Linked DNA regions of Notamacropus eugenii. The protein of the gene in region 3 binds, or shares a complex with, the protein of the main gene of each other region. Links are inferred from orthologs where the notes say so. Each region holds a gene or a part of one and is shown on either strand. Other genes may lie near its edges.

Region 1 (7,148 bases), on a different chromosome or scaffold from region 3:
AACCCATCACACATCAAGGCAGCCCACTGCACTTCTGAACAACGGACTGGTAGGAAGTTTTTCCTGATATAAAGCCCAAATCTGCTTACCCAACTACATCTCTCCCCTCCCCTTTCCCACTTTTTATTTCTTTCCTACCTTCCTTGGGCTAGAAGCCCAAGGGTAGAAGCCTGTTGATCCCTAGTGTTCCCCCCTCCCCAAAGACCGTGGAAAGAATCATAAGTAAAATGAGAAGTAAAGCTGATTGATCCATCTCCCCCCCCAACCCCCCCCCCCCAAAAAATACATATGTATAAGCCCAAAGTAGAACCTTTACAGTCATATGAGCAAGCATTTATTAAGCACCTACTATGTGCCAGGAAAAGGAAGAAATCTTAAATACCTAAATATCACCTTTCAATTCCTTGTCCACCATTCCCCTCTGCAGCCAGAGGCTTCCAAACTTTCACTCCAAGTAGCCTTCCTCTAGAACTCAAAATGCTGGAAGGAAAAATGGAAGAAGTTTGGAGCCCAATTAACTTTGTCACTGAATTACTAAAGGGTGACCGAGTTAATGGCATGGAGGATCTCAAGAACTAAAGAAATCTAACAAAGGGGATAGAGGATCAAGCCTTCTTTATCTAGACTGTACGCCCTACTCACCTCCACCTTGAAGAATCAGCTTCCTTCAAGGTAGGTACCACCTCCTACATAAGGATTTTGGTAACCTAATCACCCACTCTCATGAAATTCCCTCTTGAAATTATTTGTATTACTTTGCATATACTTTACAGTTGTTTACTTGTGGCAAGAACCACTGCATTTTTGGCCTTGTGTGCTTAATAAATACTTGTTGGAAAGGGAGAAAATAGAAATTATGTTACTATATTTATACACAGTATATATATATGTATATATATATATATACACACACACATATATATGATTGTGTTATTTAATATATCATACTTGTTACAATTTGTTACAACTAAACACATATTGATTTTTCACATATTTTACTGGGGAGTTTTTAGCCTTGAAGCTAACACTATGAGGAAAGCCTGACTCCTTTTCATGACTGTTGTTAAATAAACCACAGACACAAAAACCGAAATCAGAAGAGTGAATGTGTCTTTTAGGATGTTATGTGATTTTGTCAATCCTAAGAGTTATAACAATGAAACTAAAAACCATACCTGTTTTTTCCTTGAGTTTGCTTTGGGAAATAGGCTTGCTGAAAACACTGATGTAAATGGAGAACAATAAAGCTCAGGGAAAGGATTTGGAATAGATGGCATTTCTAGAACATTGAGATCTTTCTTTTTTCTCCTGCAACCAACAGAACATAGGATATAATTTACATAAAACAGAATGTAAAACATAATTACTGTCAGAATTTAAAACTGTTAAGGCCAAACGGTACTCTAACAGACCTAATATTACATAAAGTACACTAAAAGGTTTTCTGTTATACTTTCTGTGGATTAAATTTTTAAAAACTACTTTAATAAACTTAAACCTTTTGTAATATCCTTTACCCTTTTGACCTTCCACAAACCATCAGGCATGTGGGTAAACGGCAGTTTTTGGTAACTTTTCTGAAGCAAAAATACATAGACCAAAACGGTAGATGGAAACTGCTCTAAGCAAACAAACAAACAAAAAAATTCTTTAAAAGCTTCAATGAAAAGAAGGGAATCTTTACTGCATTTAGAGAAACCTGTTCTATTATACTTTACTAATCACATTTTGAAAGTTATACTTATTAATTATAGCTGTGGTTCATCTCCCTTCAAATTTCATTCAAAACGTTGCCCACACACAGTCTGTTGACTTCTCAGATGCTTAAGCTACAAAACAGCAACTAGTACTGTCTTTGAAAGCAGTTCAGTTAATGGAACTTGCTAGTATAAATGAACACTGCAGTGCACCGAAAAGTAATGTAACTTTGCTAGAGTTTAGAATGCTCCGAACCTAACAATCAATAAATAAATAAGCGGTACCTGAGCCATGGGAGTTGAAGGAGGTCAATAAGAGGTTTAATCTGTAAGCTTTCTACCTTTGCAGCCTTTTCTCTCCTAAGGAATGCCCTACTTTAGACACAGACAACTACAAATGTACTTGATGCTGAACGGTATAAGATTGGAGAATATTTTAAACGACTCCATCCTCTGCCTGCGGGAAGCACGACTGATCAAATATCCATCCAGAGCATTGCTTTTTCTGGCTAGGTACCGGTAATGTCTGTGTGGGAGGCGAGGTTTCATTTATGCTACAGTTTAAAGAAACCAAGAGTGTTTATTAAGAAAATGCAGGGCCTCGAAGGAAAAAAAAATCACCCTGGAGTCTTCGCTGCCTTCTGGTTCCACTCAGAAGAGGCGGGTGTCAGGAGGGAGAAGGAGAGGCGGCTCTCAATGAATGGGCAAGGCTGTCTAGGGGAAGACACCGGGAGATCGCAATGTCCTAGCGATCCCAGGAGCGAGCTGGGAAGGGGACTGTCTTGGGATACTTTTCCCAAACTTGGCCGGAGTTCTAGCCCAGGCTTCCCCTCCAGGACCGTCCTCCTCACCCCGGTCGGCTCCCCTCCCCGGAGGCCACCTACCTGTCCTCAGCACAAAAGTGGGCTCCCTCCAGGGCGGGCAGGAGCGTCCGACAGGGCAGCCCCGGGGGGCGCGCGGCCAGGGCGCCGGCGTCGCCCCTCTCCTGGGCAGCGCCGCACACCTGGGCCAGCCCCAAGCCCCGGGCAGCCGCTCTCCCCGGGGCGCTCTGCCCATCTTGCAGGGAAGTGGTCATGCTTGGCAGGTGGAGGGGCTAAGCTCAGGCGTCATGGGAGACCCCGCAGGGAGGAGGGGGAGCCGGGGTGCCCGCGGCTGGGCTCGGCAGGTGCGGTGGCTGCGCTCCCCGGGAAGCTGGCCGGGCCGGGCCGGGCAGGCGCTGCGGGCTCGAGGCTGGGCTGCCTGGGGAGGCGGAGGCGGACGAAGGGGCGGAGCGGCAAGGTGGGCGGCCAGGCCCCGGGAAAGGCGGGGAGTGGGCGGAGTGGGCGCAGGAGCTCCGCCCGGGTGGCTGCTGCAGAGCCTTCCTCCAGCACGTGGCCTAGGAGAGAAGCGGGAGGAGGGGGCGCCGGCCGTTCGAGCTGGGCTTCCTGGAAGACCCTCGCCCCGGGGGGCAGCAGAAGACCCCCCCGGGCGGTGGGCATACCTTATCTGTGGTCGCTAGTTCAGGCCCGGCTGCTCAAAAACTTCTCTTCCTGCCCGGGAGCCAACCCAGCTCTCCTTGAGAAGGAGCTTAGAAGGGGGCCCCTGGCTTTATCCAGCTGACAGAGTGGTCATTGGGCCGCTCACGTCCTTGGCATAAACCTTGCTGGCCTCGTTGAGACCCTGTAACTGGGAGGAGGGTGGTGTCCTTCTTTAGCTCAGCTTAAGTCAGGGCCAGTAACAGATAATGCCCAGAACCTTGCCAGCAGGACCAGCTGTGGATTAGCTGCCCTGTCCAGCTGCTAGACTTTTTTTTTTCTGTTGTGTTCTAGTCTGAAATACCAGTGCCGGGAAATGAAAAAGAAACCTCCCTCTGTTACTTTTACATATATGTCATCACCTACTGTTCTGAAGAGTTGAAAATGCCTTTTAAAATATCCATGAAATTGAGAAAGGCTTGCTACTGAAAAAGGAGGCTAGGAGAATAAATGTTTGGTTGTGTGGGGTTTTTTGGTTTGGTTTGTTTTGGGTTTTTTTGAAGTAACAATGGCTCCCCCACCCCGAAGAAAAATGAGATAAGGCTTCTCCAAATTTATGTGCTCTCTAAATTGGGCGGCTCCTAGAGTTTGATTCGTAAGGATCTTTACTATTATAAGGTCACCAGAATCTTTCTGATCCCCACAACCCAGTAGTGTACAAAACAAACACATCGTGCCTCCAGAATTAAACCCATAATCCCAGAGCTTTGTAAATAAAAATTATGCCTAATACCTAAAATTCCCTAACACCTCATCCCACCCCACCCCAGTCTGAGAAACGCTGCAACTTGAATCCTAAGACTAGAAGGGACCAGAAATGATCTAGCCCAATCCTGCTATTTTATAGATGAACCAAAAGCCCAGATAAGGAAAATTGCTTACCCAAGATCAATAAGTGACAGGGTCAAAACTGAAACTGAGGTATACTGACTAGCCAGCACTTTGGCCAAATAGGAGGAAAAGGCTGTACTCAGGATACTTGGAATGAATTCATAGAATTCATTCTGTTCTCACCTATAAGTAGGGGAATGCCTATATTGGGAAGTATACAAGTAGATCAGAGTCGGCATAATTTCTAAAAGAGGAGTTAGGATCCCACAAGGAAAAAATCAAAGGGATACATTTTACAAAGCTTATGTCCCCTTCATTCTCTCTCAACCCTAAACTCCTCAAAGGCTGATTCTCCTTCTTGGGATTTTCTGGGAACCGTCTGGCAATGGAGTTCTATGATGAGGGAAGGAGAAGCTAAATTGATAGCTGAGGGAGTTTCCCCACTATATTCTAATTTACCTTCCCTCCTCCCCTCAAGTAGCAGGAAAAAAGGATAAGGAGATAACAGAGAAGACAATCAAAGCCAGTGCAGTCCAGCTGCTTTCCATATGATGTATTTCTCCTCCCCCTCAGTTCAATTTTCAAACCTTCAGAAATATAATTTGTTGGTTGGAGTGGGCTCTAAATTCCTTCTCCCTCCACCCACATAATAACAGAACTGTCTCTTTCCTTCAAATAAAATCCTGACTGTGTTCATTTGCAAGCTTAATGTTTCTCCTTTGCTGCAGGAATAAAGAATTATGGACTTTCAAAAACAGTCCTGTGTTTGACAGCCAACGGCAACTCACAGGGGGACAAAAGGTTTCTAAGGTAACCAAAACCTAAATTACTTAGGGTCTTCGAGACTGACACTAAAATATTGAATTTGCTCCCAGAAATACCTTGATAGTCTTTACAAAGCCTGACTGGTGTTGTTATAATCCACACCGAGGAAACCCATGAGCAAACAGATTACATGACTTTACATTTCTAAGTGGTTTACAAGAGCAGATTCCACGGAAAGACCCTTGCAGTCATAAAACCTGCAGTTATTCTGATTGCCTAACAAAAAAAAAAAAGTTATTAAAATTTCACAGTAAAAGAAGGGAAAAAGGGACTTTTAGACAGTGACTTACAGGGGCACAGAAAGTAGCCAGAACTCAGATCACTATGTCACAACATAGGTATGATTCCTTGGATAATTTCCAGACTTTGGACAAAGGTCAAGTCTAGGTAAAATCTATGAAGCCATCAATTTGTTTTAAATTACCTTTCTCTTAGGGCACTTCTGACCCCTTTTCATCTCTCCTTGTCCAAAACCATTGTGTTTAATTCCTCCGTCCATGCTTTCCCTCACTCTGGATACCCAGGGTGCTCTATGGAGAAGCACTATGTCTAGAACTGTTATCCTCAACTGCCAAAAATACATACTACCATCATTCTTATCTCTTTTCCCTGTCTCAGTGAAATTTATCTTTTTTCTTATTGCCTTAGAGTCAAGCCCTCTAAATAATCATCTAATCTGGATCCTAACTCTGAAATTATTTATATAATCATAATCTTTTGTCATTCTGTCTTTATGCCTTTCAACTACTATAATTCCTTCTACGTCTTGGTACTGTCAGTCAGCTAGTCAATAAACGTTTATTAAGAGCCTACTATGTGTCAGGTACTGCCCTAAGCCCTGGGAAAACAAAGACAAACTCTGCTATGAAGGAACTGAGTACTTTGCAAGGCAATCTGTTCTTCACTAGCTATACTCTTCTTTCTCTATCTTGACCCCTTGGTAAAACAGCTCAACTCTACATTAACCTCTTCTCTTGATCACAGGCTGCCCTGTCTTATCTCCAATCATCCCTTGCCAAAACCCACCCCTATATTACTCTCATCATCTGTCTCTTTTTGCTCATGTGCTGCTGAATGAAACTACAGGAAATCACAAAACCATGCCAATTGTATCCACTACAAATTTATGTTCTCTAATCTCAAGTGGGCCTTTACTGAAGGGAAACAATCATTTTATTGCTTCTTAATTTATTCACTCATTCTTCAAAGCAGCTGTTCAAGGCTTTCTCATCTCTCCTAACATCTTCCTTGGCACCCCTAACCCTCACCCTCTCAAATGTGGACTTTGCCCCAGATTTCACCAAAAAGTCCATTTGCTATGAGCCCCCCTTCTTCTTTCCTTTTCATCTCATATCACTAAGACATCTTCTCTACTATCTCCCCCTTCCTTCATATCTCAGATGAAGAGGTAGCCTTTCTCTTTGTCAAGGTCAATCCCTTAACATGCACTCGTGATCCTATTATCCCTTCCTGTCTTCTCCTATAGATCTTCCCTATTATCATCCTGATTCTCTTTCTTATATTCCACTTATTTCAATTCCTGGTTCCTACTCTGATGCCTATAAACATGTTTGTCTTCCCCCATCCTTAAAAAAGCCTCACTTGACTTATCATCCCCACTATCATACTATATCTCTCCTCCTCTTTGTTGTTAAACTCCTTGATAAAGATGTATTCACTAGGTTCTTCCAGTTCTTCTCCTCTCATTCTTTTCTTGTCTCTCTTTTCTCCTGACTCTCAAAACTTTTCTACCTCTGTCCTGGCTGCCTTCATCCCTGCGGCCCCCGTTTCAACTGGTGAGTTCCTGCCCAGAAGCTCTATTTGAGAAAGCTCCCCAGGCCAGCCATATTCACTTCTCACCTAGTTCTGCTCCTGCCACCTTCCTCCTATACTCATTTTTCAGTTTCCTTTGGAGTGTTCTCTTCCCCTCCCCCACTAGAATGTAATCTCCTTGAGAACAGGAACTTCCTTTCTTTCTTTCTCTTTGCTTATATTTTCACTTTTCAGCACTTAACACAGTGCCTGGCACATAATGAGCACTTGATAAATGTTCCATCCATCCATCTCTCTCTTTCTATTTACTTATGTGTCATCTGTATGTTTAATCCAGTTGAATTGTCTCAAAAGTTATAAGGAAAGTCAAGGATATTTTAAAGATTTTAAGGAAAATATTATCTCTAAATTTGGACCAGATCTAGAGTTTCATTTCTGTAGGGAACACCTACTGGTTCTTCATCCATTTAATGCTCACATAGTTGTTCCCCTAAGGCTCTCCTGGGAT
Region 2 (7,501 bases), on a different chromosome or scaffold from region 3:
GCTGTAAGAAATGTATGTGATGAATAGAGAAAAACAGGCAAAGATCTTCATGAACTGACCCAGAAGTAAGCAGAACCAAGAAAACAATATACACAGTAACTATAACAATGTAAATAGAAAGAACTACACACCAATATGTGTGTATACATACATACATATATATACACATATATGAAGTGAATGTAACAAAATCAAAGATCAAGAAGGACTGGAAAGAAGAGATATGAGGGGACATCCCCAGCCCATCCCTTCAGGGAGGTAGGAATTATAAAAGTGTTATATATTGTATATGTTTTTGGACTTTTATCAGTTGTACTGATTCTTGTCTTCCCTTCCCCCCCTCCCCCAATGCTGTTTGTCATATGAGATGGCTCTCTGAGAGGAACAGCAAGAGAGATACTTGGGATAAGGATAATGATGTAAGAAACAGAAGACATCAACTTTATTTTTTTAAATGTGTAGTTAGGTAGACTATTTCCTAATAAACTAAAGATTTGTGTTAGATGGTGGATTTTTAAAATTAACAACAAGGAATCTGAGTTACAAAAGAAACACAAAAGCAACATTCAAAAGACATTCTCTAAATTCTCCTCCCTTGAGGTAGTATCAATTTCAAGATAATAGTTTGTTTTTTAAATAACATCTGAGCTAGTCAGGGCAATAGGTCACAAATTGTGACCTACTTGATCTCTTCTCTCACATACAAGTATAGTATAGTAACACCTCATCTATCCAGCATCAGGAAATGAACTGTTCCACACATGTTAATTTTCCAGATAAATGAAACTTACCCCATTTGAGGGCCAAATCTTTCTCAAAGTTATAACGTACTTCCTTGCCTCCTTAAAATGAGTCTATTGAAGAATGTTTTTAGTTAATGGGGACATTAAAAGAGACTATCCCCCACCAAGCTGCTTGATAGTAAGACCTAAAGTATAGAAGCAGGAGAGGGGAGGAGGACCCTTATCCCTGCTCTGGCACTACAGTCACGGGGATGCACTCTACTCTCCCCAAGGTAAGATACTAAACATAATTGAACCTTTTCTTAGTGACTCAGTATCATCATTACTTTAATGATGGGTCATGTGGTAATACAGTAATGCCCCTGGGGGTTGTTGAGGTGTGTAAGGCTATTTGCTCCTAATGGCTCCAGACAGCTAAGCTTGAGTTTTGTTTACTTTTTACAGTTTTTCTCCCTTCTTTCTCACTATGAAGCTATCAGTGCCTGCTTGGATGCCTTAGTGACACAAGTTCCTTCCACACTTAAATGCAGAATCATGCATGAAATAAGAGTAAAGGGAGAACTAAGTGAGGATCTAATGCATTATCTTGAGTGAAATTTACCAGCTTTGTAACATCTTTTTAGCGACTCAGAAAATTTTTCTTGCTTCCTGGGTTCTATGTACTTTAAGTTGCAAGAATACTGATTTGCACATAATGAAGGTACTTCTGCAATTTGATTTTCCATTTGCTTCTAAAACTTAGATTTTTTTAGAAAAAACAGTTCACTGAAGTCTGAACTTAATAACATTGTAAGAAAAAAGTAAGTGAAAAGTTATACAAAAATACAAGGAAATACAAGGAAAAAGGGAGTGAGAATGAAAACCTTTCTATACCTTTCAAGACATATTAAGAAGATATAATAATCTAGTAATAAGCATACAAAGAGTAACTGTTCTCTAAATTCAATTCTCTAGACTAGAGTAACAAAAAGTAAAATGTATCTTAAGAACAAATCACTAAACACAGAGTTACTTTGTTAAGCTTCAGTGTTGAACAATATGGTAACAGGGATTTTAAAACATGTTTTAAAAAAGTTAACAAAAAATAGGAAAAGACAAAGTAACTTCTAAATGCAGCACAACAGAAATGACGACTAGAAAAGAAACAACAAATTATTACTTCAGAAGTCACACAAGTACACATTCTTTAAAGGATTCCAATTTCAGATGTCTTAATGTCCTTTTGGTACACAATGTTGTTTTTAAAAGTTTGCAGCTACAGATTGCAAAGAGATGATAATTCTGAAAATTCTGATTATCAAGCCAAAATTCGAATAGCAAAAACCTTAGCCTTCCAATGTAATAACTGATAAATCAAATAGTACTATTTTCGCATAGCCTTACTAAATGGAGCATGGGGGGGTGGGGCAATTCTGGATGGTGGCAAGCGATTACTAAAAACAAAGCCAAAAAGATCTAATCCCGTAGCTAACCGAAGGCAAGCAGCGTAATTACTTAGGGCAAACAAGATGGTCAAAAGTCAAATCAACAACATTTCTTAAGCGACTCCTTGGTGCCACACTCCGCTGGGCACGGGGGATACACACAAAGGCAAAGTCAGTCCCTTCCCTCAGGGAGCCTGCAGATGAATGTGGGCAGTTTTCCACAGTGCTCACGCAGGGGCCCTGGGCACCTAGGGCAAGAAGCTGACCTTAGTTCCTAATATACAAAGGAGAGGAAAAGCTCCTTGAGGACAGGGCTGCCTTTCACTTGCCTCTTCACGGCTTACTGAATGGAGGGATGGAGAGAATGAAAAGGCAGCAGGGGATCATTTTTAGACACTCTTCTGCATACCTCGACATACTCAGAAGAAAAGGGGAGGAGGATAGGGGGCTAGGCACTAAGCTTTTCGGTGGGTGGCCGCTACAAACAGCCTCCCGCAGTCGCCGTGCGAGCAGTGCCCGCACCGACACCGCCCCGAGAAACCGGGCAAGCCGTCCGCGGGATGCCGGAGCCCAGCCCGCCCCTCCCCCGGCCCGCGCCCCCACCTCACCTTTTTCAGGGCCGTCACCAGCAGCCCCCTCCACTTGGGCGCGTTCTCCTCGCTGAAGAACTCGTACTGCAGCTGCAGCGCCTGCATGGTGCCCCGGGGGCTCCTCCGGGGGGCGGCGGCGGCCGAGCGGGGCGCCAGGGGGCGGGGAGGACGAGGACAAGGAGGAGGAGGAGGAGGCCGAGCTCTCACACCCGGCCCCTGCGGAGGGCAAGGCGAGCGGGGGCCCGGCGCGGCCACTTACACAGGACCAGGGACCAAGCCGAGCCCGGGCCAGGAGGCGGCGGCGGCGGCATCCCGCACCGCCTCCCCCGGGCCGGGGCCGGGGCCGGAGCCGGCGCTCTCCCCCCCACCCCCGCCGCCGCTGCCGCTGCCGCCGCTGGCCCTGTCTCAGCGCGGAGCCGCCCCCAGGGTCCCCTTGGGCGCCTACCCCGGGCCTGGCCCGCCCGGCCCGGCCTGGCCCTGCAGCGGAGCCCCGAGGAGGGGGGGCGTGCAGTGAGACGTCTCCGGCGCCCCTTCCCTCCGCTACGGCGGCTAGGCTGCCCGGGGGGTCCCAGGAGACGGGGAGGACAGAGCAGGAGAGGAGGACGGGAACAGCCCGATTTTGTGGTTCTAAAGGAACCCGGCCGCCCCGAGGTGCTACCGCCGCCGCCACCACCGCCGCCGGTGTAAAGCTCAAGCTTCCTACTTCAGTGGAACCTGCCTCGCTACTGAGCATGCTCAGCAGCGGGGACAGCGGCTCGCAGTCTCTAGCGGCTGCCACCTCCCCCTCCCCCGCCCCCAACCTCCTCCGGCTCCAGGTTTTCCCTTCAACCGCGAAGGGCCTGGAGGGATGGGGGGGGGGGAGGGATTCAAGAAGTAGGGAGATTGGCCGCGCTCGGAGTTCAGCCCTGGCACTGGAGAGGAGGGGAAGGAGCGAGGGTAGTAGTGTCACACTGCGAGGAGGGGTGGCTGAGGGACACCAGCTGAGCCAGGGGAAAGCACTCTCAGAGTTGTGAGATGGGGTCACATGAAAGAACGTGCTTCACCTTTCGAGGTCTGGGGTTCTTTTCGTATCAGAAGCACCGCGGGGGGGTGAGGCGCAGACTTAGTTACCCAGAGAGGTGTCGGGTGAATGCCTAAAATAGAATAGGCACTGTACAGCCAACCTCCAAAGGAGACAGGTCCCTAAGCTCTCCCGGGAGGGATAGGGCAGGTATGCGTGTTGCACTCGCCCTTTCCTTCCCTTTGAGGATGCCAACTTGTGCAGTTTAATTGGTCATTCTTGGACACAAGGGCACATCGGAGGAGTCAGAAGGGACCTTAGAGGTCATCTATTCTAACGTGAACGGCATTTGCTCGTTCATTCCGAGATTACCTTCTATTTACACTGTGTGCATCTTGCGAGTACATAGTAATTTGCATCATCTCCCCCATTAAGAGAGACAACTCCTTGAGAGCAGAACAGGCACGGCGTTGACTCTTTGTATTCCCCAGCTCTTAGCACAGTGATGGCACATTGTAGGAGCTTCATAAATGACTGGATTGACAACCCAGAGACCCAGAAAAGGTTCATATCTTTTTAATGGTTACACACTTCATCCTAGGAAGAACACGGAGACCCAAAATAACAACAAAGCAAAAAACTAGAGTAAAGGTGGATCGAGCTTCTTAACTGGTGAATGTGCTCCAGCAGGTGATACTTAGAGCAATGTAGTTCCTTGGTTTCAGAAACAAAAGTAGTGGAAGCTGGAAAGAAATGACACCCCTCAAATAAAGGAGCAAGGGGAGCGTGAAAATGTTAGTAAGCCGTCCATTGTTGTCCTCTTAATTGCATAGTCAAAAAATATCAGCAACCGCTGAAAGAAAATTCTGGGATGTGAGTACTAAGTAAAATGGTATGGTCAAAATCTATGGTATAGATATTTAGCTCTTACAAAGTACTTTTAAAATATCTCATTTGATCCTCACAACAATCTGGGGATGTAGGTTCTATTATTATCCCCAGTTTACAGATGAAGAATCTGAAGTTAAGTGCTTTGCCCAGGGTCACACCACTTGTGTCTAAGGTTGCACTGGAACTCAGGTCTTCTTAAATCTAGAACCAGTGCTCTATCCATGACACCAGAGTAATAGCACGTATGCATATACACACATACATACACGCATTTTAAGGTTTGCAAAGCGCTGAACGTGTCCACACAACAATCCTGGAAGGTTTATCGCCATTTTACAGATGAGGAAACTAAGGCATGGAGGTTACTTGCCCCAAGTCACACAGCTAGTACGCGAGATCTAGCGATGCAGTTAGCAATCAAAATTTGTCAACAAACCTCTGCGATCTCTGTCGGGTTCCTTCCAACAGGGCACCCCTATCAGTCTAATGCCGTTCTCCACCACCACCAACCACCACCCTGCATCCTCTCAGGTTCTGCCTGCAGTGCCAGGGATGAACCTTGCCTGATAGGGCTTAGGGAGCAAATAAAGAGCCTGACCCTGAAAACTCTTGGACTGTGGGTACAAAGGAGGAGTCCCTACCAAGGTGAGGGAAACTTGACACCCCCACAACACAGACACACACAGACACACACAGACACACACAGACACACACAGACACACCCCTCCCTCCCCCTTTCTTCTCCACCCCCACCACACACACACACACACACACACACACACACACACACACACACACACACACACACACACACACACACACACACACACACACACACACACACACACACACACACACACACACACACACACACACACACACACACACACACACACACACACACACACCCCTCCCTCCCCCTTTCTTCTCCCAGGCTAGAAGTACAGGTACTGCTCCGCTCCCCGGCCGTGGAGTAAAACCCGGATAACTGGATTTCAGATCGGACTGGGCATGCTCAGCCACCCAATGCGGGGGGGGGGGGGGGGGGGGGATGGAGGAGGGGTTCACGAGTAAGAATAAGTTAAATTCACGGGGCCAGCATCGCGGCCTGAGGATTGGGACGGGCAAAGGGCCAGGTCTGCTGATCAGACAAGGGTGGACAAATGGGGAAGGGGCTGCGGCTGGGGACGTAGCCCGTCCATTCTGTGGGAGACAAAAGAATATACATCCTCGTGAAAGAAGAAAGGGAAACGGCTCAGGAGTCCCCGGTGTGAGGCGGGGACCCGGGGCAGTGACTGGCAGCCCCAGGACCCCCGCGACCCCAACCCAGACAGTTAGAATCGGGCGGCGCCTGCGCGGCTGCCTCCCCGGGCGCTTCTCTTTCCTTGACGAGACTCAGGGAGGCCCGCGTCAGGGCGGAAGTGATGCTCAGAGGAGGCGTCCAGACCAGGTAGCCGAGCTCCGAGCAGCTCGGCCGCGCTTCGGCGCTCCAGGGAGCGGAAGGAGGCTTCTTCAGTCTCCGCCCCGCTCAGCCCCCGCGACACGCCCCCTGCAGGCGGGAGGGCCGCGCGTGCGGGCGCAGCCCCAGCGGCCACGTCCCTGCGCTCCCCGCGAGCATCCTCCCGCCCCTGCTTCTTCAGCTCATCCCTAATAACGTGTCTGTCGAGACTCCCTGACGTAGAAGGGAATCCGCGGACCTAGCAGGAACTCTTACTCTGGGGAACGTGACGTCTTAAAAGATTTTTTACATGATTGCATTTCAGTAGAGTTGGCTTTTTGGTAATCCCACGTATTTTATTCATTTACCAATATTATTCTGAAATTCCCCCAGGGGTCCATGACACCAGGCAAGGGCAGACCGCCTCCTTCCCCGCCGAGATGAAGAATTCGTTCTAGTCCAACCGAGGAGGGAACGGTGGAGTGACAGATAAATGAAGTGACTTGGGTCACCAGTGGCATGGGCAGGATTCGAACTCGGTGCCTCTGACTCCAGGGCTGCGCACTTCCCACCATTTACAGTCTTGCAGCAGATTTTGGAGCCTGCTATCTGCCTGCTCTCCAGAATTAGGACCATGAACATAGCTGGAAAGGGTCTTTGAGATCTCTTGAACCAAACCTGCTCATTTTGTGGATAAGGAGGGGGGGACTTGCTCCATCACAGTTAGTGACAGGCACCATCTGACTCCCTATCCAGGGCTTCTAACTTTACAACGAGCGCCAAGACCAGGGGCCACCATTCCTATCTTCTTGCTAAGGGGGAGGGTCTGCCCAGAAATGGACCAGAAGCTGAGGAAAACTGAAGTAGGCTGGATATCTATTTCCAACAGTAACCAAAAAACAATACATCAGAGCTAGGAGGATGAGGGGCTTGAAATTTGGAAAGTGCATAAGAGGGCTACAAACATTTCCAGGAGAGTTCTGAGAAAACAAGGATCATGTTCTGTAGGTTCCTCATATGTTTCTTCCTATTATAAAATTCCTACTGCCATATGTTCCAAAATACATCCCTCACTAAAGCTCCTGCTTTTCACAAAATTAAGGAAAAAGGAAAAACAAAGTAGAAAGATGTCCTCTGGTTCACCAAATGAGGACATGTTCAAAGCAAGATATGCATGAACCTTGCCTGATGTTGCTTAGAGAGCAAATAAAGAGTCTGGCCCTGAAAACTCCTGGACTGTGGGCGCAAAGGTCGTGGGTTTTAGAAAGAGGTTCTGAAAAGTTATGAACTTGTAATGGCTATGGCTGAACAGTATGGGGCAGAGTGGATTAGAAAAATGTCAGGGCCTTTGGCCAATTAGTGGATCAAAGATGTCCTTTCCTTGGAATTCATTCTAAACCCATCTCCAAAATATT
Region 3 (7,569 bases):
TGTGTGCGTGTGCATGTGTGTAATCCCACCCAGTACCCAGATAATTAAAAGTTTGAAGAGTTACAAATATTGTCTTTCCATGTAGGAATGTAAAGAGTTCAACTTTAGTAAGTCCCTTATGACTTCTCTTTGCTGTTTACCTTTTCATGCTTCTCTTCATTCTTGTGTTTGAAAGTCAAATTTTCTTTTCAGCTCTGGTCTTTTCATCAAGAATGCTTGAAAGTCCTCTATTTCATTGAAAGACCAATTTTTCCCCTGAAGTATTATACTCAGTTTTGCTGGCTAGGTGATTCTTGGTTTTAGTTCCAGTTCCTTTGACTTCTGGAATATCCTCTTCCATGCCCTTTGATCCCTTAATGTAGAAGCTGCTATATCTTGTGTTATCCTGATTGTATTTCCACAGTACTTGAATTGTTTCTTTCTAGCTGCTTGCAATATTTTCTCCTTGACCTGGGAACTCTGGAATTTGGCCACAATGTTCCTAGGAGTTTCTCTTTTTGGATCTCTTTCAGGTGGTGATCTGTGGATTCCTTGAATACTTATTTTGCCCTCTGGTTCTAGAATCTCAGGGCGGTTTTCCTAGATAATTTCATGAAAGATGATGTCTAGGCTCTTTTTTTGATCATGGCTTTCAGGTAGGCCCATAATTTTTAAATTGTCTCTCCTGGATCTATTTTCCAGGTCAGTTGATTTTACAATGAGATATTTCACATTATCTTCCATTTTTTCATTCTTTTGGTTTTGTTTTGTGATTTCTTGGTTTCTCATAAAGTCATTAGCCTCCATCTGTTCCATTCTAATGTTGAAAGAACTATTTTCTTCAGTGAGTTTTTGAACCTCCTTTTCCATTTGGCTAATTCTGCTTTTGAAAGCATTCTTCTCCTCATTGGCTTTTTGAACCTCTTTTGCCAGTTGAGTTAGCCTATTTTTCAAGGTGTTATTTTCTTCAGCATTTTTAACCTGCTTTTCATGCTTTTCTTTCATCTCTCTCATTTCTCTTCCCAGTTTTTCCTCCACCTCTCTAACTTGATTTTCAAAATCCTTTTTGAGCTCTTCCATGGCCTGAGCCCATTGGGTGGGCTGGGATACAGAAGCCTTGACTGCTGTGTCTTTCCCTGATGGTAAGCATTGTTCTTCCTCATCAGACAGGAAGGAAGGAAATACCTGTTCACCAAGAAAGTAACCTTCTATAGTCTTATTTTTTTTTCCCTTTTCTGGGCATTTTCCCAGCCAGTGACTTGACTTCTGAGTATTCTCTTCACACCCACTTTGCCTCCAGATCTGCCCAGCCAGCACTTGGGGTCTGAGATTCAAATGCTGCTTCCCAGCCTCAGGGCTTTTGGCGGGGGCGGGGCTGCTATTCAGTGTGAGATCAAGTTCAGGTGCTCAGGTGGGGGCAGGGCCGCCACACGGGCTCAGTTCCCTCAGGAGGTTTATGGGGAGACTTTCAACAATGGATCCAAGCTCCTGCCTGCTTGGGGAGCCCTGGTCTGCTCCTGCCTCTGCTGCTGCCTCCCGAGGGCACCTGAGTTATGGGGGGACCCCACTCCCCTCTCGGCAAGCCGAGAAGACCTTCTCACCAACCTTTGGGGCCTGTGGGTGGAGGGACCTGCGTGGCCGCTGGAGATTCCATCCCTGAAGCCTGCTCGGATCTGCTTCTTTTGGTGCCCGCAGGGCCAAGGCAGGGCTGGGCTTGGCTCTGGGTCCAGGGCACGACGGACCTTTTGCAAGAGGTTTCCAGGGCTCTCTGGAACAGAAATCTCATCCACTCTGTTGTTCTGTGGCTTCTGCTGCTCCAGAATTTGTTGGGAGTTCTTCTTTACAGATATTTTATGGGCTGTGGGTTCAGAGCTAGCGTCCATGTGTCTTTCTACTCCGCCATCTTGGCTCCGCCCCTTGTTTACAATGTTCCTGGGAATTTTCATTTTGAGATTTCTTTCAGGAAGTAACTTCCTTCTATTTCTATTTTGCCCACTGATTCTAAAAGATGTGAGAAGTTTTCTTTTATTTCTTGAAATAAGTAGTGCAATGATTCTTAAATTGTCTCTCCCTGACCTTTTATGTTCCCCCAGGTCATTTTTGCTTTTTTTTTTTTAATGAGGTTCACTGTAGTTTCTTCCACTTTTCCCCCCAGTCTTTTGACTTTAATATTTCTTGTCCTTAAACAGAAACCATTAACTTCTATTTGGTACATTATAATTTTTGTAGGAGTCTGTTACTTGGGTAAGGTTTTATGCCTCTTGTTCTAAGCTGTTAATTTTCTCTCCAATTCTTTCTTCTGTGGCTCTCATTCATTTTCAATTTTCTCCCCTATTCCCCTCTTTTATTTTTTGATTATTTACTCTAATTCTCATTTAATTTATAAAATGGCGTTTTAGTTTTTTTTTTTTAAACTCCTGCTTCATCTGTTCCAGAAATTCTCATTGAACTTGTGTCCAAGCTGTGCTATTCTTTGAAGTTCAGTTTGTAGATGTTTTTGGAGTCATTCTCTCCTTTTGGGTTTATGTTGAGTATCCTTGTCATCATAATAGCTTTTTTATGGTAGGATTCTTTTTCTGTTTACTCATTCTTCCACCCTTACTTCCTGATTCTAAACTTCATGTAAGGGTCAGGCTCTGCTTCTGGTTAAGGGCTGAGCCACGTTCGGTCCTCTTAGGTCCTGCTTTGCTCCTAAAGTGGTCTGATGCAGGATTATCTCCCTTTGGATTCAGATGGCACTAGTTATTCCTTCCTCCTCCCTTCCCTCCCCGAACCATCAAACTCAAGGAGATTTCATCAACTTGGATATTCACATCTCATTAAGAACCTCAGTTGCCTTGGACTGGAGGCTTGGAGGGCAGAGCAAAAAACTCCACCCAAAATCTCCATTTAAAAGAGGGCTCAGAAGTCTGACTCTTCATCTTCCAACAGCTGTACTCTTCGGATTCTGTCATCATGTTCCCCCACCCCCACCCCATTCTACTTTCCCATTTCCTTTCATGCCCCGTTAAATCATAAGTTCCTTGAGGGCAGAGACTTTGGGTTTTTTTATTTGTGTTCCCAGTGCTTGGCAAGGTAAAGAAATGTTTGTTGTATTTCTATTTGAGTTTGTGAAGGCTAATCCCTGTCGTCTTGGTTTGAGTTTCGCCAGTTCCAGAGGTCGGTTTAGGTCTTAGCCACATAACTGTGGGCTTACTCCATGTTCAAGTTCCAGTAAACTGCTACTGGACTCGGCCAGGGCCAGCCAGGTGGAAGGCTTTCCAGGTCCAGAGTGGCAGAAATGGAAGCTCCTATTCATCTGGGCTGCCTGCCCTGATTACTCATTCTGCTGCAGGTTGTAGACTTGGCCGTACCTGAAACTCGAGGTCTGCTCTGCTCCCTGGTCAAAGTCCCGGAGCGGGTGTTTGCCCAGTGCGCAGTCCCACTTCGCGGTCCACTCTGCCTGCCCTTGACTCCTGTTCCGGTCTCTCAGTGTGGGTCTGAGAACTCTTCCTTTGCGGTCCTGGGCAGACCCGTCCCCTCACTCCTAGCCTATCGTAACCACCTGCTGGTAGTGGGGAGATCATCTGCTGCTCTGACCATCTCAATCTCCCTGCTCCCCCTGCCCACAAATTCCTGTGGTTCCCTATTACCTCCAGGGCCAATGTGGCTGCTTCCCCTCATTTTCTGTGCTCTTGCATACAGACGCTGGCTGTCGGGCTGGCCCTTGAATGTGCCACTCAATCTCCCGACCCTAGCATTTTCTCTGGCTGTGCCCCACTCCTGGAATGCAGTCCCTCCTTCTACACAGAGGAAGCCTTCCCTGACCTCCTGCCTAGGCTCGGGCAGGGACCACTTGGGTGCAGGGAGCGGCAGCGCCCAGGTGGGGTCAGGGAGGTGTCTTTCGGACCCTGCGCTGACCTGCTGCTCCCTGACCATCCTGGTGGGAGCCCCAGGCCCCGCGGTGTCGGGATGAAGGCTCAGCCCTCCTCGCAGGCACAGGCAGACCCGGGCCAGCACACGCTTCGAGGGCACAGGCTGGCCCACCAGCCGCAGGGGCCCTCTATCTAGGGAGCTGCCCAACAGTCATTCCATCCCTGGCTCCCCATTGCCCAGGGTCACCGCTCCTCTCTTTGAGCTTCCTCAGAGTATGCCGCGCGACCGGCCCAAACTAGCCTACTGCAGTGCCGCAAGAAGTTCCAGCTCCCGTCGCCCCGCCTTTGCCCCGGCAGTTCCCTCTGCCTGGAATGCTCTCCCCTTCTCACCTCCCAGCCAATACCGAAAAGGATCCCGGAGTGGGCGGTGCCTAGAAGGCCGCTCCGGCCACTGATCGGGTTGAAGCAGGCGCTTCAGCCAATAAGAAACTAGACTCTGATGGTCAACTTACTTCTCCAACGGGAAGTAGGGCTGGCTCCAGGACGTGATGGGCAGGAGGCTCAGCCAATAGTCAGAGCCGCTCAGAGAGCGTCGACGGCGGTGAGACCTTGCAGACGGCTAGAAAGGGTGGGCGGGGCCGAGGAATGTCCTCGTACGTGTGCGTGCGCGTGCGCGGTGGGGCGGGGCCGAGGCGCGCGCCGCCGCTCGCCGCGCCCCCGCCCGCCGCGCGCGCCCGCGCCCCGGGCCGCCAGGAGCCCATGCGCGGAGTGAGCCGCCCGGCCCGGCCCCAGCCCCAGCCCCGGAGCCCCCCGAGCCCCCTCCGGAGCCCCCGGCCCGGAGCCCCCGGCCCGGGGGGGCAGCAGTGGCGGAGCAGAAGGAGACGGCGGAGGAGGCAGTGAGCCCGGTGAGCCTAGGGGGGGTCCCGGCGAGCGGAGCGGGACGGAGGGCAGAGGGGAGGGGGCGGCGGGGGGTGGGGAGTGTGTGTGTGTGTGGGGGGGTTATTGGGGTGGGGACGGTGCCCCCTCAGCGGGGAGGTTGGGGGCTCGGGCCTCCCGGAGCGCATGCCGTGGCCGTGGCCGTGGCCTTGGCTTTCCCCTTCTGGGGCAGGGGCACGGGCGGGGGCGGGGTGCGGCCTGGGGAAAGGGGTGCGGGGGAATGCGGGGCGGGCAGCCTACAAACTTGCCCGTCATCCGAACGCGGGGGCTGGGGGGGTTGTCCCGGGGCGTGTCCGTGTCTGGGGGTGCGCGTGCCGTGAGAGGGGGGGACCTGGCCCGGGCCGGGAGGGGCTGGGGGAGGGGCTGCAGGGGGAGGGGCTGCCGGGGGCGGGGCCCCCACCTGGGAGCTCCCCCTCCCCCACGCTCGGGGGCCTGGGCAGGCCTGGGGGGCCGGCCTTGGGGGCCCCTGAGACAGCGCAGCTTCCCCGCAGGCTCCTGGCCAGGATGACCGAATACAAGCTGGTGGTCGTGGGTGCGGGGGGCGTGGGCAAGAGCGCGCTCACCATTCAGCTCATTCAGAATCACTTCGTGGACGAGTATGATCCCACGATCGAGGTAAGCGCGCCCCCACGCCCCCCGCCCCAGGACCCAGGAGTCTGGACGGCGCCCTCCCCCCCAGGCCCCTAGGACCCTGTACGGCTCCACACCCCCGCCCCAGGACCCTGGAGGGCGCCCTCCCCCCACACACCCTGGACCCAGGACCCTGGATGGTGCGCCCCCCAACACATACCCAGAACCCTGGACAGCTTCCCCCACCCAGGACCCTGGAGGATGTCCCCCTCCAACACATACCTCAGGACCGTGGACTTCGCATACACATGCTCACAGGACCCTGGACAGCACCCTCCTTCCCCCCCTCCCCCAGGGCCCTGGATGCTGACCCCTTACCCAACACATACCCAGGACCCTGGACGGCTCCCTACCCCTGACCTAGGACCCTGGATGGCACCCTCCCCCCTACACATACCCAGGACCCTGGACGGCTCCCTACCCCTGACCTAGGACCCTGGATGGCACCCTCCCCCTTACACATACCCCAGGACCCTTGACTTCGCATACACTCACAGGATCCTGGATGCTGCCCTCCCCAGCCAGGACCCCAGATGGTGCGTGCGCGCATGCACACACACGCGCGCACACACACACACACACACACACACACACACACACACACACACACACACACACACACACACCCAGGAACCTGAATGCTCACCCCCCACACCCCGCCCCAGGAACACATACACTTACACCCCAGGTCCCCCTCCCCCAACCCCATCCCCTTCAGAATCACTCCCATCACCAGAAGCAGGCTCCCAGAAGCTTTCCCCAGGAACTCCCTAGCAGGGAGGGAGCTGAGACCTGGGGTTCTGCCTTAACTCCCCCCACTCCAGGACTCATACAGGAAGCAAGTGGTCATTGATGGAGAGACCTGTCTGCTTGACATCTTGGACACTGCAGGCCAGGAGGAGTACAGCGCCATGAGAGATCAGTACATGCGCACCGGGGAGGGCTTCCTCTGTGTCTTTGCCATTAACAACACCAAGTCCTTCGAAGACATTCACCAGTACAGGTGAGCCCCCACCCCACCCTCCACCGGCCCTGCCAGCCCTGCCCTGCCCCACTGGCCAGCTCCTGCTTCTCTCCTCCCATGCAGGGAGCAGATTAAGCGGGTGAAGGACTCGGATGATGTGCCCATGGTGTTGGTGGGGAACAAATGTGACCTGCCAGCCCGGACAGTGGAGACACGCCAGGCACAGGAACTGGCCCGAAGTTATGGGATCCCCTACATTGAGACTTCGGCCAAAACTCGCCAGGTGAAGGCCTCCCACCTACTGTCCCAGCTGCCCGCTGTGGGGGTGGGGGTACAGAGGCCAAGCTGGAGGCCTCTCCCCAGCATGGAGAGACCCAAAAAAGCTGAGTAGCTGAGTACAAGGCCCCAGAACAGCAGGGAGTCTGGGTAGTGAAGAGGTGAGCCCTTGTGTGGCACAGTTTGGGCTAGGTAGGCCCTGGTTGGATGTGAGCTCCTATCTGAAGTGGACCTGGGGGATCCTTGGGAGGTCTGGGTCCAAGATGAACCCTGATCTGACATGAGCCCATGTCCAAGGTGACCCTGGGTCCAAAAGAAGCTGGAGTCTGGGAAGAACCTAGGCCCTGGATGAGCTCCCTCCGAGGGAAGCCTGAGGCTGTATGGCCTCAGGGCCCCAGAGCGGCTCCCTCGGAGGCCAGCCCGAGGCCAGGGCACACCCAGGCTCTGGCTGAGCTGCCCCTCTCCGCAGGGGGTGGAGGATGCTTTCTACACACTGGTGCGGGAAATCCGGCAGCACAAACTGCGGAAGCTGAATCCCCCGGACGAGAGCGGCCCGGGGTGTCTGAACTGCAAGTGTGTGATCTCCTGACCGCGGGGTGGAGGTGAGGCCTGGGGAGGGGGGAGGTCGCGGGCGGGGCTGAGAGCAGGGACCCCCCCTCCTTTCCTTCCCCCATCCCGTCGGCTGGACCCTGAGTTGGCCTTCTGGTCCCCGCCCAGGCTGGGGGTTTGGAGGTGCAGGACCCGAGTGAGGGATGGAGGAGCCGACGGACGGAGGGACGGATGGACCATGGTGGACACACTGACGGACAGTCGGTTGGAAGGAAGGAAGGAAGACAGCGGCGGCCGCCCCTCGGCGCTGCTGCTGCTGCTGCTGCTGCTGCTGGAGTTCCTGGTCCTGCCGGGAGGGCCAGATGGCGCCTCTGATCCCCC
Region 4 (7,784 bases), on a different chromosome or scaffold from region 3:
TTCAAATTGGGGAAAGTCTCTGAGGCCTCCAATCAGAGAACAGCTTCTCCTCCCCCCACCCCAAGTCAAAGGGTGGGAAGGCGTCTGGGAGTGGCCCAGAACTTCAGCTCCTTCCCCTTCCTCTGCCTGGCTCCTCCACTTCCTCCAGCAGAATGGGAAGTGCAAAATTCATTTCCTTGCTCTGAAATCCACTTCCACCCCTTTCCCTCCTTCCTGCCCTTTTCTTACCTGCTGCCAGGCAGGTCTTTCCCTGTCCCTGGTCCTGGCCCATCTCCCTCAGAGGAGAGCAGAGGTCTGGTAAAATTAGGGGGCGGGGGACCCAGCCAACCCGAGTGTTGTGTGTCACTTCCTGAGATCTCAAAGGCAACCTGGAGTATCCAGCCCTGGGGGGAGCCTTAGGGACTCAGGTATACTATACTCTTCTCTTGCCCTACACCTTGAGACATAGTGGTTTTCCAGGAGTGGTGAGACTATTTTGGGGGCATCCTTGGGCATGGGGGTAGGGTGAGAGGGAAGCAGGCAGAGACAAACATACCAACATAGACAGATGGATATCAATGACACAGAGTGATAATAATAACTCATTTCTAAGATGACATCAGGGTCATTTTAAACTGCTCCCTCTGCAATCATTCTGGAAGGTGGAAAGCACAAATATCATCCTCTTGTTACAGAAAAGGAAACTGAGGTCCAGAGAAGTTATATGACTTTTTTAAGTTCACATAGCTGGTAGAAGTAGGATTTTAATCAAAGCTGCCTTATGGCTCACCAAATCTAACCTCCTCATTAGAGACAGATAGAGAGACACAGAGATAGAGAGACAGATGGAGAAATAGAGAGAAATCTTTTGTTTCTTTATCTCTTTCATTCCCCTCCTTCCAGAACCTTCCCTTGTAGCAAAGACAAGAAAGAAGAGAAAAAAAGCAGTTCTGCCAAATGAAATCATAAAACAACTATGCCTGGCCATAAAGTAATGCACATCCTCAGGCCTCCACCTCTGCAATGAAACCAGCTAGTATGACAGAGTGGAAAGAGCTGTAGATTTGAAGAAGGAAGATCTATGTTTCAACCCCAGATTCATTACTTCTGCCTCCTGTGTAACACTGAGCTAACCTCTTAACTTCTTGGGACCTCAGTTTCCTCACCTGTAAAATGAGGTGGATGGACCAAATGAGGTTTAAGCCTCCTTCTAGGTGTACAATTTCAAATTTTACAGATAAGGAAACTGAGGCCTCAAGAGATGACCTGATGAGCTCAAGAAAAAAATAAGAGGCTTGAAATCTGGGTTCTTCCCCCATTTTTTTTTTTTTACTAAGTCTAGGGATCTTTACATTACAAGCATACAGTGTGAGCTAAGCATGTATACACACACACACACACACATACACACACACACAGAGTAATACAGAATCAGAGATAGGTGGTATCACAGCCACAATGTTACACTCAGAGAAAGGTTATAAATAAGTGTTACAAGAGATACAGAGTGACACAGGGCTACACATCGGTATACATGGAGGCACCCACAGATTCTTCAGATGTTGCAGAAAGGTACAAACACACAGAGATACATGTTTATGCATATAAATAGGCAGAGGGAGAGAGACAAAGTGACACATGGAGATAGCATTACAAAGTTGCAAAGACAGAGATACAAAGTTCTATACAGAGACAGTTTCAATGTTATATAGACAGATACAGTTACACTAGAGGCACAGAGTTATAATGTTATACACCATTATAGAGATAGAGACAAAAAGTTCCACATGGAAACATAGTTACACATAGAGTTACATTGTTACATGTGGAGAGACGCTCAAACACAAGAATACATAGGTTGCTTGACATTCATCATTTGGTGCATTAGCTGGTACCTTAGTGATCATTTCAGTCATTCCCTTTCTTTTTATGGAGGAGGAAACTGAAGCCCAGTAAAGGAGAACACTGCCTGAGATCACAGTGCACCCCGTCCTGAAGCCTAGAGGAATAGGAGTCTTGAGGGGACTCGAGCCTTTTGTCTCTTCCCTCCCACTCCACTTTGGATTGACTCCCCTCCCACCTCCGGAGTTGGAAAAACCTTAAAATGGAGAATGCCATGGCTGGCCTTAGAATAGAGAATGTCAAAATTGGGAGACAATAGCAGAGCTAGATTTCCTTGGAACATAGAAGTGTAGCGCTAGAAAGGTCCTTAGAAGAGAAAAGGTCAGAACTAGGAATTTAAACCTCTCTTTTTCCTCTCTCCTCATCCTTCCCTTAAGGATACAAGACCCTAAACTTCTAGGAGACCTGTTCTCTACTTATCCTTGGCTAGATTACTTCCCTCCCATCCGTCCTCCCCATAATCCCCCCACCCCCAATAAGAGACAGATATAAAGAGAATGGGAGGGGCCTGGAGAACAGGAGGAAGGGAGTCAGTAAGGAAGGAGGGGCAGGGGCCAGGGGATCCCCTCACCTCTTGCTTTCTTTCCGGTTCATGTTGCCCCCTGGGGAGGGAGGGGAGGAGGTCTAGACTCCTAGGTAGACCAGGCCGGGTTGGATGTCTCTGGGCCCCTCCCCCTCAGGGCCCCCTCACAGCTACTGGAGCCTGGACTTTTTTCCTCCCAGTGAAAGAGGAACTGACCCCCTTCCCCCCACTGCTTGTCAGAAAGAGAGGAAGAGACACAGGGAGAGACCAGCCCTGGGTAGCCTGGGGGAGGGGGATCCTCTGAGGTTCCTACACTGGCCCTCTAGCTCCGCCTGGGTCTCTGTCTCCGTCTCACTGGGTATTTCTGGCCCTCTCTGTTTCTCTTGATATGTATGTTATCTCTCTCACAATCTCTGCCTCTTTTTTTCCACTGTCAACCCCCATCATCTCTGTCTCAGATTCTCTTTTTATCAGCTGTCCCTTTCCCCCTAACACTTTCTCATTCTGGCCAAGATATCAACTTTACACCTGCTTCTTACAGATGTTCTTCCAGCTCTCTCTATAGTGAATCTAGCTGTGCCCGAGGAGAAAGCAGATGTTTCCCTCCCCCTCGAGGATCTGTGCGGCTGTACCTGGTTCCCTATGAGGCTAGAGGGGAGTGGAGCAGCCAAAGCGGGCCTGGACCTCAAGGGAAGTTGGAGACTCCTTGCCCCAGAGAGGAAAGAGTGAAAGGGATAGTTGGTAAAACATGACGACTGTAAGTGCTTGGAGATCCTAGGGGCTCCCCTCTTTCCTCTCCCATGACACAGCTGGAGAAATGGTGCAGATGTGCTGAGTGAGGAAGGAAACTGCTGGTTTCCTGAGTCTTCTGATGGGGGAAGTGGGGAGGGAAGTCAGGCAAGGTGACGTACTGAGGTTTCCTACACCTCCCCACCGCCCCAGTCTATTACCCATAATACCTAGTGAGCATATTTCCCTAAGAATACACACCTGTGCACTCAGTGGTTCAGCCCAGGTCATGTGCCCCGTCTCTAGTGGGTGGGGCACGGGCTCAGTGCCACGTAAATTATATGCAGATGAGGGTGTGTGTGTGTGTGTGTGTGTGTGTGTGTGTGTGTGTGTGTGTGTGTGTGTGTGTGTGTGTGTGTGTGTGTGTGTGTGAGTGACACGCAGATTTATGGAAATATACATGTGTACCTCTAAGGGACTGGGGACTAGCACTGGGAAAGGGTGGGGAGGAGAGAGACTAGATTATATTTAAGGAATTTCTTCCTTCAAGAGACCTCAGGTATGGGGAACTGAGGTGTTTGGGGAATGGGGTAGCTGTCTAGAACCCAGCTGTCTAGAACCATCTCATCTCCCAGCCTCAGCAGAGATCCGGTGCAAGACTGGAAAGAGGAGGGGTGGGGCTATGGGTGAGGGGCGGGGCCAATACAATATCTCCTCCCCTCCAAAACTCAGAACCTATAGGAACCAGAGGGCGGGCTCTAAGAGCCACACACCCCCATTGCCCCCTTCGGAGCTCTTTTCCCAGTGCCATCTCTGTCCTCGCCTTCCCAGCCACCCTCTCCAAGTGTCCAGCCCCTCAGTCCCCACCATCAGCGCCCCAGGCCCAGCTTCCCCAGATTCCCAGGCCCCAGTCCTAGCCTCAGCTCCCTGGGATCATGGGGGATGGAGGGGAGGGCGAGGATGACGTCCAGTTTCTCCGAACTGTGAGTATCTCTGCCTCTGGGGTTTCTGGGTCTCTAAACTTTTTGGGGTCTTTTCTCTATCTCTTCTTTTACTCTGCCACTAAGGATCTCTTTGGGTCTCTGGTTATGAACACCTTGTTTTTCTCAAGATCTGTTTCCTTGCGTCTCTGGCCTATCCCTCAGGTTCATTCTCCGTCTCTGACTGTCCCTGCCTTTTTCTGGATGGTTGTCTCTGTCTCTCTTGGTGTCTGAATGTGTCTGGGTCCCTGTCTCATTGTCTGGGAGTAGGACTTGGAGGAAAATCCCGTTGGCCCGCCTGGATTTGGGGCGGGGTGGTGGTGGTAATGCGAGGAAAGGAGGGTCCCCTCCACCCTGGAATGCAGGTGGTAACGTGGTGACTGCTTTAGACCAGGACCACAGCTCTGTATTAATGCCAATTTCCCTGTCGGCTTAATTTAGCTTCCTCCCCACCGGCCTCATTCTCCAACTCCTTGCTCTGACCCACTTAGAGTCCTGGGGTGAGGGGTGGAGAGGAGTCCTGGCTGGGGGAGCCTGGAGGAGTTCTGACTGTCCTTGCTCCCAAGTTCCCCTCCCCCTCAGTAAAGACCCTCAGGGTCTCTGGTGGAGTTTGTCTCTATCTCTGTATTCCTTGGGGTCTCCTGTGCTGTCTGACTCTGAGTCCCAGGTGCTTCCGTCTCTGAATCTCCATCTCTCTAGGCCTCAGTTCCTTCCTCTGTCAAATAACGGGAATGAGCTGACAAAGACCCCTTCCAGTCCTAACATGCCAAAGAGTCTAGGCTCTTGTCTTCTGAATCCTTGTGTCTCTGGGTTCTCTCCTGTTCTCCGTCCTCCTGTCTCTGGGTCTCTTGTCTCTGGGTCTCTCAATCTCTGCATGACAGAGCCTGGTCAGGCCAGGGCGAGGGTGGAGATGGGAATTTGGGGGAACAGGTGTGCTGCCCAGAATAGCTGGGGCTGCTGGTGGGGACGGGGGCGGGGAGCCAGGGGGGAGGGGGAGGGGGAGGTGCTCCAAGGAGGATGAGTCGAGGTACCCCTGCCTTCTGCACTCCACACCCCCTACTCCCACTCCCTGGAGACTGGCTTGAGTTTATTGGGGGTCAGGGTGTGTCTTCAATACAGCCCTTTATACCTCCACGGTGGAAGCCCTATCCCCACTCCCTCCCCAGGGCTCATGAAAATGCTGACAGGGGCACCTTCTCAGCAGAAACCTAACCTTCCCTAAGCAGGAGAGGACGGGAGAAGGAAGGGTCCAATTTCTAGAAGGGGGAGCAGCTGGGGTGGGGGACTGGGCAGGAGAGGAGTCAGGCGCTGTTTGGGGGGAGGGTGGAAGGCTGTGGGGTGAGAGACAGAGACAGCTGTGCATACTTGCCCCGCCCCCCCATCCCTACAGGGCTTTGACCCTCTCCAGAGTCCGAGCCTATTGGTACCTTTCGCAATCCCCGCTTTCCAGCAGCGGGTTTGGATTGGCTAACCAGCCCCACTCGGAAGCTTCTGATTGGTGTGTTTGCAATCAGTCTTAAAATCCTGTTAAGCAGAATTGGGACTGAACCTTAAAAGGACTATGTGATGTCTATCTGGGAGGGATCTGAGAGACTTGAGAATCTAACCTCCCCAGACAAAGACGAAGGGATTGGAGCGTTCCGGGGCCTGGGTTCTAGATCTAATTCAGAATTGGAGGAGACCTTAGTGGCCATCTAGTCCAATCCTCTCATTTTACAGATGAGGAAACTGAGGGTTAGGTGGATCGACTTGCCCAAGTCACAGTGGATAATAAGTGATAGAAGAAGGATTTGAACCCAGGTCTTCAAACTCCAAAATCGGCGCTTATTCCGTTATACTAAGACTTCCTTTCCATTCTGCAGTACCTCACAAAGTAGCCCTCTTTTGCTCTTTTTGCCCAGTTCCACACCTAGGCCACAGCTCTACTCAGATTCCTGGGCTGGAGAGTAGAGGAGAAGAGGTAGTCCTGGTCTCCCTACTCTGCCTTCTTCCCATTCCATCCAGTTCATGGCTGTCAAATGACTACTTCTAAAGCACTGGTCTGACCCTGCTCAAGAAACCACGATGGCTCCCTTCCTTGCTTGGACATTTAAAGACTTTCACATTATGACTCTAATGTGTCCTACTAGACTTATTTCACATTATTCCTCCTTATGCATTCTGAATTCCAACCACAATGGTCTACGCGGTGTTCCTTATACATGACATCCCATCTACCACCTCTCTGCTGTTGCTTAAGTTGTTCCTCCCCTGCCTGAGATTCCATCTTCTCTCACCTCCACCTGGTAGCTCTTTCTCCTGCAGGAAACCTTTCCCAATCTCCCCCATGGTTAGAGCATTGCCCACCACCAAAATATTTTGTATTTAAAGGATCAAAGGATCAGACAAGAGGAACAGATTCAGGGCTAGAAAGGTCCTTCTTTGCTTTTTAGTCCAGCCTCATTTAATGTCATTCTTTTAAATTCATGAAAATCTATTTTCTCTTCCTCCTGCCCTCTCCCAATGGAAAAAGGGGGAAAAAAAGGAAAAAAACACCCATAATGAATATCCATAGTCAAGCGAGACAAATTCCACAACTTCAACTCTCTCCTTTTCAGATGAAGAAGCTAGGACCCATAGATGTGACCTGCCCAAGGTCACACAGGCAATAAGGGTGGACAGTAGGATTTGGGTCCTCTTTCTATTTAACCATATACAGAGTCTCCTCCACAGAATATAAGCTTCTTGAGGACAGGGACCCTTTTATATCTATATTTGTCCAGTATCTACCACAGTCCCTGACCCACAGCAAGTGCTTGGTACATTTAAAATGTCACTTAATTGAACTTTCATTTACATAGGTGAAAATTTAAGCCCAGAGAGATTAAGGGATTTTCCCAAGGCCATACAGGTCTCATGCTTTTGTCCCTAAACCACCTATACCAGAGGAATGGGCTGTATAGATAAAACCAGGCAGGCAGATGGGCATGTCTCAGAGCTGGGCTGGAGAGAGAAATGTATGGCTTGGAGAGATACTAGAGTCCAGGGGGAGGGAAGGAAACTGGGATGTGGAAGGGATAAGAAGGGCAAAAATGTGGCAAATTTCCCTAATTATTGCTTAGTTATCCTCTTCCCTTTCCCCAGGGGCTCAGAGTAAGAGGTTTGGTAAGTGTGTCTCAGAATGGTGGGTGGGAATTTCTGCTTGAACAGGCAAAGAGAAGACTGAAGACTTGGGATCTCTGAATAGAGAGGCTACTTCTGTGAAATTATTTGAGGTCTTAAGAAGGGGCAGGGAGGGAGTACCAAGGATGAAAGGCTGGGGATCTCAGAGTGGGAAGTTTGGGATTATTTAGGGGTAAGAAGGGGAGTTTCAGGAGTAAGTGGGAGAACTGGGACTAGAAACCCTGAATATGAGGGTCCAGGGCAGCTAGATGGCATGATGAATAGAGTACCAGGCCTAGAGTCAGGATAGACCTGAGTGCAAATCCAGCCTCAGACACTCACTAGCTATGTGACCCTGGGCAAGTCATTTAACCCTGTTTGCCTCAGTTTCCTCATCTGTAAAATGAGCTGAAGAAGAAAGTAGAAAACCTCTCCAGCGTCTCTGTCAAGAGAACCCCAAATGGGGTCATGAAGAATCGGACACAACTGAAAGGACTGAACAACATGAGGGTTTGGGGTCTCAGGGTAAG

The links.
Region 1: the proteins of HRAS (region 3) and GRB14 are in contact, whole or in part, in a crystal structure (PDB 4K81), measured with the Homo sapiens proteins. The link is inferred for Notamacropus eugenii from reciprocal best matches to the Homo sapiens genes HRAS and GRB14. Residues at the interface, in NP_001123914.1 of Homo sapiens: Glu31, Asp33, Pro34, Ile36, Glu37, Asp38, Ser39, Tyr40, Arg41, Tyr64, Met67; in NP_004481.2 of Homo sapiens: Val109, Lys111, Asp116, Glu117, Thr118, Ser119, Arg120, Ala121, Leu122, Asp123, Lys140, His142.
Region 2: the proteins of HRAS (region 3) and SOS1 are in contact, whole or in part, in a crystal structure (PDB 4NYM), measured with the Homo sapiens proteins. The link is inferred for Notamacropus eugenii from reciprocal best matches to the Homo sapiens genes HRAS and SOS1. Residues at the interface, in NP_001123914.1 of Homo sapiens: Gly13, Gly15, Ser17, Ala18, Thr20, Ile21, Gln25, Asp30, Glu31, Tyr32, Asp33, Pro34, Thr35, Glu37, Tyr40, Arg41, Asp54, Ile55, Leu56, Asp57, Thr58, Ala59, Gly60, Gln61, Glu63, Tyr64, Ser65, Ala66, Met67, Arg68; in NP_005624.2 of Homo sapiens: Glu589, Lys602, Trp809, Thr810, Lys814, Leu822, Met824, Ile825, Arg826, Thr828, Thr829, Thr832, Glu836, Asn869, Leu872, Val875, Ser876, Asn879, Ser880, Ser881, Tyr884, Ser908, Asp910, His911, Tyr912, Lys913, Leu916, Phe929, Phe930, Gly931.
Region 4: the proteins of HRAS (region 3) and RASGRP4 are in contact, whole or in part, in a crystal structure (PDB 6AXG), measured with the Homo sapiens proteins. The link is inferred for Notamacropus eugenii from reciprocal best matches to the Homo sapiens genes HRAS and RASGRP4. Residues at the interface, in NP_001123914.1 of Homo sapiens: Glu3, Gly12, Gly13, Gly15, Ser17, Ala18, Ile21, Asp33, Pro34, Thr35, Ile36, Glu37, Tyr40, Arg41, Asp54, Leu56, Asp57, Ala59, Gly60, Gln61, Glu63, Tyr64, Ser65, Ala66, Met67, Arg68, Asp69, Gln70, Arg73, Thr74; in NP_733749.1 of Homo sapiens: Tyr228, Gly232, Val234, Val244, Asn248, Ser251, Asn288, Met291, Ala292, Gly295, Gly296, Cys298, His299, Ser300, Leu327, Ala328, Ser329, His330, Asn331, Asn332, Tyr333, Ala334, Arg337, Leu351, Gly352, Val353, Leu355, Lys356, Val359, Ser360.

What each region holds. Positions count from the first base shown.
Region 1 is NC_092876.1:225,021,988-225,029,135, forward strand, and holds the start of GRB14 (growth factor receptor-bound protein 14), read right to left. Parts: upstream 3,002-7,148; 5' UTR 2,773-3,001; coding exon 2,582-2,772; intron 1,309-2,581; coding exon 1,176-1,308; intron 1-1,175. UniProt on the Homo sapiens protein: Adapter protein which modulates coupling of cell surface receptor kinases with specific signaling pathways. Binds to, and suppresses signals from, the activated insulin receptor (INSR). Potent inhibitor of insulin-stimulated MAPK3 phosphorylation.
Region 2 is NC_092872.1:672,340,542-672,348,042, reverse strand, and holds the start of SOS1 (son of sevenless homolog 1), read right to left. Parts: upstream 3,002-7,501; 5' UTR 2,863-3,001; coding exon 2,776-2,862; intron 1-2,775.
Region 3 is NC_092873.1:27,850,102-27,857,670, forward strand, and holds the start of HRAS (GTPase HRas), read left to right. Parts: upstream 1-4,567; 5' UTR 4,568-4,738; intron 4,739-5,260; 5' UTR 5,261-5,273; coding exon 5,274-5,384; intron 5,385-6,223; coding exon 6,224-6,402; intron 6,403-6,486; coding exon 6,487-6,646; intron 6,647-7,108; coding exon 7,109-7,228; 3' UTR 7,229-7,241; intron 7,242-7,356; 3' UTR 7,357-7,569. UniProt on the Homo sapiens protein: Involved in the activation of Ras protein signal transduction. Ras proteins bind GDP/GTP and possess intrinsic GTPase activity.
Region 4 is NC_092876.1:31,704,808-31,712,591, forward strand, and holds the start of RASGRP4 (RAS guanyl-releasing protein 4), read right to left. Parts: upstream 3,015-7,784; 5' UTR 2,476-3,014; coding exon 2,453-2,475; intron 1-2,452. Other genes in the region: RYR1 (ryanodine receptor 1), read left to right, coding at 4,069-4,116.